3 linked regions of the Coturnix japonica genome follow. The protein of the gene in region 2 interacts with the protein of the main gene of each other region in a pairwise test. Links are inferred from orthologs where the notes say so. Each region holds a gene or a part of one and is shown on either strand. Other genes may lie near its edges.

Evidence for each region.
Region 1: the proteins of FHL3 (region 2) and PATL1 interact in binary tests that used the Homo sapiens proteins (3 or more experiments, as listed by UniProt). The two-hybrid records come from large-scale screens. The link is inferred for Coturnix japonica from reciprocal best matches to the Homo sapiens genes FHL3 and PATL1.
Region 3: the proteins of FHL3 (region 2) and TTLL10 interact in binary tests that used the Homo sapiens proteins (3 or more experiments, as listed by UniProt). The two-hybrid records come from large-scale screens. The link is inferred for Coturnix japonica from reciprocal best matches to the Homo sapiens genes FHL3 and TTLL10.

The regions. Positions count from the first base shown.
Region 1 is NC_029520.1:202,683-206,877, forward strand, and holds the start of PATL1 (protein PAT1 homolog 1), read right to left. Parts: upstream 2,801-4,195; 5' UTR 2,745-2,800; coding exon 2,730-2,744; intron 2,437-2,729; coding exon 2,325-2,436; intron 2,248-2,324; coding exon 1,958-2,247; intron 1,348-1,957; coding exon 1,153-1,347; intron 1,063-1,152; coding exon 961-1,062; intron 860-960; coding exon 770-859; intron 674-769; coding exon 465-673; intron 397-464; coding exon 313-396; intron 157-312; coding exon 1-156. Other genes in the region: syntaxin-3-like, read left to right, coding at 3,739-3,768. UniProt on the Homo sapiens protein: RNA-binding protein involved in deadenylation-dependent decapping of mRNAs, leading to the degradation of mRNAs. Acts as a scaffold protein that connects deadenylation and decapping machinery.
Region 2 is NC_029538.1:3,109,474-3,113,696, reverse strand, and holds the start of FHL3 (four and a half LIM domains protein 3), read right to left. Parts: upstream 2,801-4,223; 5' UTR 2,669-2,800; coding exon 2,662-2,668; intron 1-2,661. UniProt on the Homo sapiens protein: Recruited by SOX15 to FOXK1 promoters where it acts as a transcriptional coactivator of FOXK1.
Region 3 is NC_029536.1:2,184,902-2,189,149, reverse strand, and holds the start of TTLL10 (inactive polyglycylase TTLL10), read left to right. Parts: upstream 1-1,448; 5' UTR 1,449-1,522; coding exon 1,523-1,752; intron 1,753-2,108; coding exon 2,109-2,215; intron 2,216-2,373; coding exon 2,374-2,530; intron 2,531-3,289; coding exon 3,290-3,408; intron 3,409-3,920; coding exon 3,921-4,041; intron 4,042-4,200; coding exon 4,201-4,248. UniProt on the Homo sapiens protein: Inactive polyglycylase.

The sequences.
Region 1 (4,195 bases), on a different chromosome or scaffold from region 2:
TCGGTGCTCTGCAGCTGCATCATCTGGATCTTAGACACCCAGTCCTTCTCCCGCTGCAGCATGAGGTTGGCGTAGGGGTCCTTGCGCACCTGCTCCTGGTGGCTGCCCCGGTGGCCCCCTCGGTCCCCCACCGAGCCGTTGAGGCCACGGTGCTGGCTGGCAGGAGGCAAGAAGGGCACCCATGAACACACAGGAGCTACAGGAAGGGACAGAGAGTGGTGCACAGGCTACCCCCGGCTGCATGGGCCCCCCAGAACAGCCGGCACCGGAGCATCGCCCACCTCCTCACGCTCCCTCCCGCCCAGTGCTCACTTTCTGTTCTGCTGCTGCCGCTGGTGCAGGAGCCGGCGGTGCTGGGGGTGCAGGTGGGTGGTGTCCAGTCGGAAGGGCTGCGGCCTGTGGGGAGCACAGGGGGTTAGAGGGCCGTGGGGCAGGTGAATGATCATGAGGGGGTCAGTGCCTACCTCAGGCCCTGCAGGTGAGGCATGGGGCCCGGCGGAGGCTGCGGTTGTGAGGGCGGAGTGGGGCCAGCCCCGAAGAAGGCACGAAAGCCACCAGTGGGAGCCATCATCTGCCCCACTCTGCCCTGCAGCAGCTTGGGGTTGACGGAGGGTAGTGGGCTCCCAACAAGGCCTGAGACTCGAGCAAACTGGCTAGGAGAAATTCGGCCAGCCTGTGGGGCAGAGGGAGTGCGGATCAGGCAGGGTCCATCAGAATGCTGGACCCTCGCCCCTATGGGCCTTGGGGGGCACAGAGTCTAGGGCTTTACCTGTGCACCTCCCAGCAGCTGTGCCCGCTGCAGGTGGGTGAGAACGGGAGAGACACTGGTAGGGAACGGGTGGCCCAGCAAGGAAGAGTTCTGCAGGAAAATAAAGGAGCAGACCCCTTGGTCACAGTCCTCCTAGGCAGTATGATGCAGTCGGGGCATCAGAGGGTTATGGGGGTGGGAGCAGGGGGTACCGGTACGTTGCAGAGCTGGTTGGGGGACATCCTCTCGCCGTAGGGAGCAGAGTAGCGCTGCTGCATGGTAGCCCGGATGTGGACAGGCTTTGGACACAGGATCTGAGAGAAGGAAAGCAGTGGGGGTCTGACCGCTGGATCCTCACCAGGGGTGCAGGGGTCTGCACCTGCTGTGAGGAGTTGGGGCCATACCTGCTGGTTAAAATTGGGCATGGTGGCCTGCTTGGGTGGGGTGCCGATGGGGACTGCTCGCACGGGGGGGCTCCCGATGATGGGGGAGGATGAGCGGCGTGGCAGTGCCCGTTCCGAGGGGTCCCGCTCCTCCTCCCGAGCCTGTGGGGGTCTCTGGGGCAGAGCGTAGTCCAGCACGGACAACGATGGCATCTCCTGAAAGTAAAAGTGGCCCTGTGAAAAAGACTCAGAGCTGGACGTGGTGGCAAGGTGCACTGAATATGACGTGGTATAGAACAGAGGAGCCGCCCCATTGCGCTTTCCCAGTGCTGGAGATCCCCACGCCCCAGCCAGGGTTCTCAGAGAGCCCTAAGGATCCTGCGCCCAGCTCTTAATTAAGCCTGACTCTCTGTCAACCAGCAATGAAAACAATTATGGCTCGAGGCACTGACGATCCCAAATCTTGAGTGCTGACACCATCAGGGATTGCGTGGCATCTCCCAGCCCAGAGGGAGCATGTGCAGGGACTAGAAGTGATGTCCAAGAGCAGCTCACCCAACAGCCACAGAATATCCCAAGCTGGGAGGGGCCCACAGGACCACTGAGTCCAACCCCCGGCCCCACATAGGAACGCCCCAAACACAAACCTACATCTGAGGGCATTGCCCCAACACTCCTCGAGCTCTGGTAGTGTGGGGCAGTGCCTGCTTCTCCGGGAAGCCTTCTCCACACCTACAGCCACTGTGGTGAAGAACCTCTTCCTAACACTCAACCCTCCCCCATTCCTGCAACCCTTCGTTGCGTGTGCCCAGCGTTGTGCCCCTACCTGTGTGAGCAGTGGCGTGCGGATGCGCTGCAGCACAGAGGGGCCATCCCAGATGCTGGTGTTGAGCGTCACGCTCTGTGCAGCAGACCCACGGGTGTGCACGGCTCTCATGATGGCAGGGTCCTCCAGCTCGCTCTCGATCACCAGCCGTGTCAGTCGCTCCGCCAGCGCATCCTCAGGTTCCCCCAGCAGCTCCGCATCCTCACTGCTGGGTTGGGCCTGCTGCCCTGAGCCCACGGGTTTCTCCTCCAGCTCAGCCAACCGCTCGTGGGCCTCCTGCCAGTCATCATCTGCACGGGAACGGCGGGCTGAGCGCAGCGGCAGAGAGCACCGGGTGGGCAGTGTGGACAAGAGACAGAGAACTCACCGACAGCCCCGGCCCCAAAGGTGTCATCGTTGAACTGATCGATGTCCTCATCCTCCTCGCCCAGCACCTGGAAGCCGTCCTCCTCCTCGTCCAGCGGGCACTCCTCCAGGGACTGCAGCGGCAGACGGTGCCTTCGTACCACCACGACTACCGAACCGGCGCTGCCACCGAGGCCAAGGCCCAGCCCTGCCCGGCAGCCCCGGTCCCGAGCAGCGGTCCCAGCACAGCGCCCACACCGACTCTCGGCCCTGAGCCCACAGCCTCGACCCTCAGCCCGACCCGCGGCCCCACGGCCCTGACCCTGAGCCCGTAGCCGCGGCCCCGAACCCAACTCGGAGTCCCGAGCTCCGACCCCCGCGGCCCGACCCCGCCCCCTCAGCCCCCTCAGCCCCTCCCCCCGCTCACCGGGTACCGGAACATGGCGGCGGCGGCGGCGCCCCCCGCCCGCAGGCTCCGCGCGGCCCGCTACGGCCCCGCCGCGCATGCGCCGCCGCGGGCGCACGCGCATGACGTCACCTCCTCCGCCCGTCCGTGCGGTGCGCATGCGCAAATGAGCTCCGCCCAGCCGAAGGCTCACAGAGCGCCGCGCCCCACTGCGGGCGGCTCTTAAAGGGACAGGCCGCCTTTTTCTGACCGCCTCCGTGCACTCGTGCGCCGTCGTGCCCCGGCCGCGCGCTGCTGCCCCAGCCGTGCCCCACACGCCAGCCACGGCTCAGCGATGTCCGCTGGGTCTTTCCCTCCAGTCGTGTCCCCCAGCCTGTGTCCCCCCACGCGGGACCCCTGCCCACGGACACGTCCCCCAGCTCACGTCCCCTAACCGTGGCCGTTCTCCCAAGTTCGAGCCCCCTATACACGGCCACGTCCCCCCAACCTGCATCCCATAGTTCATGTGCTCTACCCACGGCCATGTCCCCCGCTTCATGTCCCCTAACCATGGCCACAGCCCCGGCCCGTGTCCCCTACTGTGAGCCACATCTCCAACCCGTGCCTCCCATCCATGGCCACGTCCCACGGCCCGCGTCCTTCACCCTCAGCCACATCCCCACCTTGTGTCCCCCCGCCCGTTCCCTCCACCCATAGCCGTGTCCCCACTTCGTGTCCCAACACTCCCATCCCTTATCCATGTCCCTGTCCTCCAACCCACATCCCACCACTCACATCCCCTACCCATGGCCGTGTCCCCCTGTCCCTCACCACCCCCTGTCCCCCATCCTGTGCCGGGGCCACCTGTAGGCTGTGGTGACACTGCTGTCACTGGCACCTTTGTCACCCCCCCTCGGGTGCCTGGATCACACGTGGCTGGTGCGGGCAGCCCCGCCTCAGCCTTGCCCTCGTCGAGTGCCCATCAGCGGGGATTAGCGGGGCTGATGTAGGACGGCAGCGGGCGGGCGGCGAGTCCTGGCAGCCCGGCACCATGCGGGACCGGCTGGAGCAGCTCCGGGCGGTGAGGGGTGCAGGGCAGCAATGGGGGTCACCCGTGGGGGTACCCAATGATGGGTGCTGCCCTACGGCTGGAGGGGACCGGGGGTTTGAGCCCTGGGAGGGTTTGGGTTGGCTGCGTCCTCGCTATGGGGCGCAGGAAGGGATGTGGGACACGCGTGGGGCCCCCTGTCCTCCTTTAGGGTTCTTGGGGTGCTCCTCACGCTGCGCTGCCCCGCGGCCTCCGTGCTGCCCGTGGGGGATTTAGCGGGGATTAAGGGAGGCGCTGCCCACCATCGGGGGGGAGCGGGGGATTAGTGTTATTTTTACCCCAGAAATGGGAGGGGTGGGGGTGGCCGGGGCACGACACCGCGGTCATGGCAAGGGGGGATGCGGGGCAGAGGGGAGCTCGCGTGGAGCCGCCGTGGGGTGAAATTGGGGGCCACAAAGCC
Region 2 (4,223 bases):
TGGATGAGGGTTCAACTAGAAAGTCATAAAGAGGGTATATATAAATGCAGATGAAACTGCAAACTGGTGCTTGTGGGCCTCGTGTTACCTCGTTGTTGTAGCATTGCTTTTCTTGCTCTGTGTGCTGTAGCCCCGTCCCAACCTATCAGGATCACAATGGGGCACCTGCGTGGAGGCAGAGTTCTCCACCAAACAAATGTATATCAAATATACGTCCACAATAAGACCAATAAACCAACCAGCCCCACATTGATGACCATAAAACCCAGCTGACTTGGTCCATGGCCACACAGACGCCTAACTGCTTACCCAACTGCAGGATGAAGGCTCCAGAAACAATGTCTCAAAACCTCTTTGCCCCAAGAAATAAAGGTCAAAACAAATACACTACAACTCAAACATGAAAGCATGACAGGAAATGACTAACTGCACACTGAGGCCAACTTACCTTCGTCTTAGATCTACCCACTACACAAGGATCCTGCAATACAAACAGACACCACAGCTTCCATGCAGAAAAAAGAATCAGGCTGCTCGAGGTGCTTGCTATGGGGTGCAGACATCACTGCAAAACCAAGGCATTCTGCTTTATTTCCCTAATGTTCTCTTACAATTCCAGCTCTGTGCTGTAGTTTTTGTTTCCTCTAGCTGTTTTGAGGATGAAGCCATTCTTAGTTCAGAAGCAATGAATAATTTAAATTTCTTTTTACAAAGCGTTTTGTAGTCCCTGAATAAAAGGTTACGTCTCTGTTTTGCACAGGAGCCTCAAGCTTGTCTCTAAGCATGCATGAAAATCAACCCATGGACAGGCTGCAAGGGGTAGATGCAGCCATGTGCATGCGTTGTGCATCTATGCTGAAAAGCAATCCTGCATGGTCTGAGCCCAGCCCTTATTAATCACCTTCACCTGAGAGCCTGGCAGCCCTTTAGTTGACTAAGGATCCATTCAACTTCAGTTTTCGTTGTTGATGCTTTATTAATACACAAAGTAACTTTGATCTACAGGAGCAGGAAAAGACATCTAGAACACACATCTTATTTAACAATTGCCTATTGCTTCAAGGGCAAAAGGATTTTCTTTTTCCCCCAGACCAAATATTCTCTTTCTGAGTCAATTCCCTGCCTCCCAAGCTGTAGCATTCATAGTCTCCTATATAACAGTGATGCTGAGGAAGGTGGATGGCACCGCATCTGCATACAAAACCAGCAGAGCAAAGCAGAAGCCAAGGTGATAGGGGAGACACTGCACTGCCACTTGCATGCCATGCAGCTGCCTTCTTGCTGTCTGATCACCAGCCAGGGACCTCTTTGCCTCTGCCCTCACTTCTTGTGCAACAGCCTGCAGTCCTGCCTACCACACTTCTTACAGCTGCTGTGTCCCTCGCAAGCAAAGGCAATTACAGCTTTGTAACCCGCAGCATGTGAGCACTTCTAATTCTAGGGAAGGACTGAATCCTGGCAAAGACAAACTGTCTCAGGTTACCATCCCAAGAACCACTCGCCTGTGGTCCGAAACACAACTAAGATCTTCTGTTGCCTGGGAGATGCTGCATGTGCCAGCTGCAGCCGTCCCTAAAAAGGCAGCACTCCCAAGGACAGCGAGCCAAGCTAAGAAGGACATGGCACGGGAAGAGGGAGGTCTCCTGGAGCCATTCTCCTGCTAATGTAGACATAAAGTAAGTTTCAACCTTCTAGAGTTAATCATCTCTCTGCTGGGTGATCTGCTCATCAATAGTCTCCTTGGTAAAGCACTTCTCACTTAGACCCTTAGTGCTGCACGCTTTAAGCTGCAGAAGTTGTGATTATTGTGTATTCTACATAAAACCTCGAAGAAATAACCCACTGCAAGCACTAAAAATAAATGTGCAGAAACCCACATGCTTTCCAGTTCCTGCCATACTTTGAGATGCAGTCTTTGGTGGTACTTCTGAAAGGGAAGACTTGCCACATTCAAAACATACAGTGAAAGCAGCTATTATAAACGGGCACAAGCACTCACAAAATAAAGCGTAAATGCCTCTACATCACTAACACACTAAACATGGAGTTTCCTGTGTGTGGAGGAGCCACAGCCCCAAGCCCTGCTGCTGGCAGGTGCCACTGCAAAGTACTTTTGCTGACTGCCCAGAAACTCAAGAACAGCTGAAAAGTGCTCCTTTGCAGAACAAACACACAGAGATAAGAAAGAGTAACACTAACCAGCCTTTGATCCAGGCCTGTGGCTCATTCACAGAACCTCATAATCATGCTTAAATCTGAGATATACAAGGAGACCCACATAAAAAGGGATAGATCCAAAATTGGACTCTTCGAAACTTCTACATGAAGACTTCCACACAAAGAAGAGCTGATGTCTCAGCCCATGAAGCAGAGGTTGCAAAAGTACGTCCCATTTCTTTGCTGTGGAGGAGATGCTCCACACTCTGTCCCTGAAGGAAGAAGCAATAGCAAGCTGCTCTCTGCCAAGAGTTGCAGAGTTCCCAGGGCTGGCTGCATGCTCCTGCACTCCAGCACATCGGGCTTCACTACAGCAAGAAAACACCAGCACCCAACAAACCTCCCTCTGCTCTCCTCGTAGGTCAGACCAAAAACCAATCTACTCACAGTCAACGTGCCCCAAGCTGGCAGAGATTGGAACCCAAACCTCCAGGCTGTTGTTACCTTGCATTGTGGCAGTGAAGGATCTGTGCAGAGCCTGGGGATGTGCTGGGGCAGCTCCCACTGACTCACAGTGCAGGCACTATCAGCAGGTGCAGTGCAAGGGACTCTGTCCTGTAAGCACCTCACTTGTAGAACGCTCGAGTGCTCGCCCAGGAACAAAAGCAGCCACATCATAAACCAGATGGTGACATCAGCACTGGGATTTTATTTCCTGCACAGGTTCAGATTTCATTACTTGTGACATGAAATTGGACTCTTACAATTCGAGTTACTCTATATTTTCATAAAGGGCGCAGGAATCCCTGATTCCAATTTGTTGGATATAAATTGCTTCTCAACCTCCTGAAGACAGCAGCGCTCACTGATTTCCACTGGAAAGGGTCAGTGCAATTTGTACAGCACCATCCACTTGGGGCCCAGCTGTTCAAAATCCCTGGACTGCTCTTTTCCCTTCTTATTCCAAGTTCTGCTCTGCATCTCCTTCCGAAATTAAAGCTCAGAGTTATCAAGGATCTGACAGCACGTATTTCATCACTCCTGGGTTGAGTCATTGTTTCGGAGCACAGAGCATGATGCAGTGTGTGCTTATGGTCCAACACCTCTGCCAACATGAAATGCATTTCTGATTTTCCACATACAGCTGCTCAGGCTCTCCAAAAGCAACACATCCAAGACTTCTATACAAGCCCAACAGGCCAGAATTAATCTTCCTGTGCATTACATGATGTTTGCACAGGGTTGAGAAATACTAGAAATAAAAGTTCTCTTGGCTGAGTTACATGCAACACAGTGTACTTTCTGCTATTAATGACTTCAATAAGTACCTCTGACACTTCACATATTCCAGAAACCTCTTGTTTAGGCATCACAGCAGTTTTCTTAGTAGAAAAGTGTTCACTGAGCTAAAGTTAGCCACCGAAATGTCTTAGATTTTAATTACTGCCTTTTCTATTTGAAGTTTAATATGCTTGGAAAAGAGGCAGGTAGTAACTAACCCTCACCCAGGACACAAACTGAAGATTAGTTTGCTTGGAAGGAGGTTTAACTCCCTGACATCCCATCACAAACAACACAAGTACATATGGTGACCCAGTGCAAGACCATAAACACCAGAGTGCTCAGTTTCCACAGACCTGACATCCCATTCCTCTCACAGGATTCTTGCTTGGTCAGTTCCCCAGCAGCTGTCACCAGCAGGAGCACTACTTACCCTTACAACACCTGCAGGGCACGGAGCTATTTTATCTCCCTCCTGGGATTTGCACCTCAAAGGTTTTTGGCACAAGGCAAGCTTGGCAGGGCTAAAAAAGGAACTAAGATCCACGTTGCTGGCCAGCAACGGAACCAGAAAGCTTCCTTCTCCTCCTGAGATGCAGCAGCATGGAAAACATGACGTCCACTCATGCATGCTACAGATCTATATCCAAACAGAGCCCACAAGCTGTTCTATGTGAGAAGCAGGGGGGAAAGAAAGGTTGAGGTGAGCAGACCCAGCACTGTGGCTGAACCTGGGCTCCAGACCTTTCACCTGAGCAATGAGGAGTCTTTGTGTGTAGCTCCCA
Region 3 (4,248 bases), on a different chromosome or scaffold from region 2:
CTTCCAATCCATGCCAATCTATGGGTCTATGACAAGCGTGATATTACTGTAGTAACACTCACTGCCACATGTGTGTGCATCGTGCACTCTGGCAGATCCAGCCATTGGGTGGTAAGGAGAAGATGCAAAACCTTCAAGCTCTGCACTTGCCAGGGTTGGTTCCTTGTCCTTCATATGGTGCCCATAGAATTTGCAGAAACCTAATTCTAAAAGCAAGGTCTCAATACTGTTTATATAGCAAAATATGGCACAGAAACCCCTTTGGCAGAAGAACTACCTCGAATTAAACATGCACAGTCTTAGCATAGCTATAACCGTGCCTGTGCCAGCAACACGCATTCTTTGCTATTGCACATTAATTTCTTGAGAGTAGTTTTCCAACATCATAAGGATTATGCAGTCACTTTGGCTGTCATTTCTGGGCAAGTTGTTTGAAATTCAGCAGATTTTGGAGGCATTGCATTCCTGCAGGCTGAACGACAGCAGGGCTGAATGCCTGCCCAAAGAAGCAGCTACAACACCCCTTGCACTATGGTTAGCACTCTGATCCAAACCAAAAAGAGAAGGAAAACAGGCATCCAAAGTGCATTAGGCTCACAAAATGCAGGGTATAAATAAATCCTTCAGGTTCCTCTGGTTATAACCTCTTAACTCAGTACCTCCTTCACTGCAGCCTCTCCCCTCCAACGATGAGGCAACAATTTCCTAGAGGGTGTAACGCTGGTTGGAAGCATTGCAACACGGCCACTCTCCTCCTGCATGTTACTCCCTGGGTGACTGAGCTGGGTTGGATGCCAGAGGGAATGCAGGAAGGTGGAAGAGACAGCCAGGACAGGACCCTGCCCTGCTCTGCAGGAGCTCCATTGTGTGCAACAGCAGGAAAATACAGAGAACGTTCCTGAAGGTCACAGTGACACCAGGACGAGTGCCAGTGTATTCAGGCTGCCTGGAGAGAGGCTGACGCTGAGCCAAACCTCACCTGCCAGCCTCTTTATTCACCCATTTCTTATTAGGGCAAAGAGAGGCGTCCTTACATGGAAATACATTTTGCTTGTGCTCCTCTTCTTGGATTTTTGCTTTTTGTGGCATTGCAGGTGCTGCTGTTCCACATGAGCCCAAGAGCAGAACTGTTGTGTCTGTATTCACTGAGATGACTCCTGCTGAAACGGATCTGCCGAAGTCACAAAGTCAGGTCATTCCATCTTAAAACTGGCAACTGCGTTTGGTTAGGACACGGAGAAGGAGCCTAAACCATAGAACATAGAACCATAGAACTCCAGGATGCTCCTTAGAAGTTTGCAGAAGGATTTGCCCCTGCTCACTACAGAAGCAAAAAGCCTTAGGAGGACTTAGAGCACTGATTTCACCCTGCTGGCAGCTTTGATCATTTGATTTAAGTCCTGACAAATCAAACAGCACGTGGCGCACTCCAGTATTTGTAGAACCCCCAGGCATTCCAGCAGCAGAACCCCTCCCCAGGCAGCTGTTGCTAGGAGCTGAGCTGTGTTTTGTAGGCTATGGGATGGCGGAGCAACGCGGGTGTCTGAGTCGCTCATGGGGCTCCAGCACCTCTCCATCAATGCTAACAGGCCATCGGCACTCCTCTCCACAACCTGCTCCATCCCAGGGTGCTTTTGTGCTTCCCAAGCTGATTACGACTTATCCAGTAGTCAAGTGCACGTCCTCCAAGCTGAAAAAAGGACAGGGAGCAATTAAAGCTCTCTTAAAATATTTAGAAACAGCCGAGAGCAGGTTAGAATTTCCATTCTTTCTGTTAGCACGGGGTGTGGGTTTGGCCCCCTGTAGGAAGGGGCTGAAAGGCAGCAAGGTATGGCTGTGCAGAATGGCTCCCTGATCTCCATGCAGCCCTTTGGACACTTGTCCTTGTGTCAAACAGTTGCCAACCCTGCATCCAACACCTTTCCTGGGTTATGGCTTCTGTCTCCATAAGGAACAGCTCATTTTTTGGTTTTCACATCAATTGCAAAGAGCAAGAAAATGGGTTTTTAAACTTTGAAGCTTCCTATCATTTATCCCAAGGCTGAACACAAAAGACAAGGACCACTCACACGCTTCCCAAGCACTGACCGGGATCTTTCCTCTTGCAGCCCTGGCTGTGCAATGGCCTCTGTGTCATCCAAGAGGAAGAAGAACACCAGAGCTAAAGGACGGGGCCATCAACAACAGCAGGCACAATCCTTACCAGCTGACAGAGGTAAATCTTGTGCCTTCAGTTTTAACCCATAGCTGTGCCAAGTCTTATAGCCAAGGTCTGAGTTGATATGGAGATCAAGAGGGTTACATGTTCTACACCTGGCCACCAACTTACAGTGTTCTTGCAGGCAGACTGCACACAATTTATACCTTTTTCAGGTAAACCCCGTGAAGGTGTTTTTCCTACCTCTGAAGTGGAGCTTGACAAAACCAGGCCTTGTGGTCTTCCAGAAAAGCAGTCAGAAGAACTGATACGAGAAGTGCCAATGGCATCAGGACCATATTTTTATATCAGTGGATCTAATGGAGAAGGACTGTAAGTAGGTCCTTAGCAATATATGACAGCACATGAAACTGCACTACAACATGTAATCTTTTCCCTTTGACTTTATGTGTTGTCAGAACAAAGCATTCAAAGAATAGTTTAAGAACAATTCAAATGGCAAGTGCTTAATGGAAGACCAACTGTAGTAATGTAGCTGTTAAGCAAGAAACTAAACACTTATACTTGTTAAATGAGAGTTCTCTGGGTTTTACATAGTAAATCAGCCAGCATCATCTCAAGCTCAACTGCAGTTGATCAACCTTTCATTGCCATAAATGCATTAAAAGCAAAAAATAAGAAGACTTTTATGCCCAAGAAAAATAGTCAGATCAGAAATTCCATCATTTACTTCCTGAGTTCTACAAATGGCTTTTCCTATTGTGATCTGTCATCTCTTCCTGCACATCTAAGCACAGAGGCTCCTTACTGACTCCGGACCATAATGCACAACATTCCTATTCTACGGGTACCACGTCCATCTTAATTGAAGCAACCCTGCTGAAACGGTACAGGTTCTCATTAACACTGCAGAATTACAACATCCTGAACATCCTCAGTCATGAGTTCAGAGCAGCAGGTCCACTTGCAGCCACTCTAATTAATGTTTCCCACCTTATTCCCCACCCAGGGGTTCTTGGGGGTGTTAAGTCAAACTCCCAGGGAAACTGATAGGAGTTGAGGGGATGTGAACTAATTCAGTCTTCATTGCTGGAAAGGAGGCTATTTTGCTATTTTGTTTTCCATACGCAGTGTGAGCATCTATTGCCAGAGCAAAGGCTGGCAGCGTATCTATGACAACAGAAGACAGGATTACGCACTGAAATGGTGTGAGATCAAGTGCCGAGAGACCTATTACCATTTCAAAGAAGGTAGAGGTGCCAGTGGGCCTCGAGTGGGAGAGGGCAGTGGGAAAAATGAGAGAATGATGGACTTGTGGCTCTTAGGGCAGAGGTCACCTGAAGGGTAGGAGAAGCAGGTAACCTCAACTTCTTGGCAGTCCTCAGTGGGGATATTGGAGCTGGATTGCCATGGTGATTAAAGAAAGGGTTTTAGACAAGAGAATGGCTTGGAGAGAAAAGATACCATTGAAATGAACTGCACACAAAGCATCATAATCACTTCTGAAATGCAGCCCTCCCTCTGTGGGTTGGAGCTCACAGGCGGCAATAGGACTGACACTGTTCTGCTGCACAGCAGCAGCTGGCACCTCACCAGCCTGGCCAAGACTTTGCATACATATAGAGGGTGCCCCACATACACAAGCACCCCCTGCTACTGCCTGCAAGTAAATTGGTGAGAGTCAGCAGTGCCCAGATCAGCATCATACCCTCCAGGTTCTGCTGCATGAGATGAGGACAAGCTGTCTTTTCCCCTCATACAGGCGAACAGCTGCTCTACCAGATTCCCAACAACATTGTCCTTACCAGCAAGATTGGGCTTTTATCCTGCCTGCGAGAGCAAGAGCGAGTGATGAGAAAGATCAACTTGAACTCTGGTCCCAAGTAAGAACTCTCACCTCATTGCACCTTGAGCAGAAACACGCACCAAGCAAAAGTGAGAGCGCATAAAAAAGAGGGTGCAAAGTATAGGGGGATTTTTTTCCCCCAGAGGAATGAATGTGTCAGACAAGATTTTCAGCTTGTATTTCAACTCTCCCGTAGGTTACTGAAGATGGAAGATTTCTTTCCAGAATCTTTTCGCTTGGACTT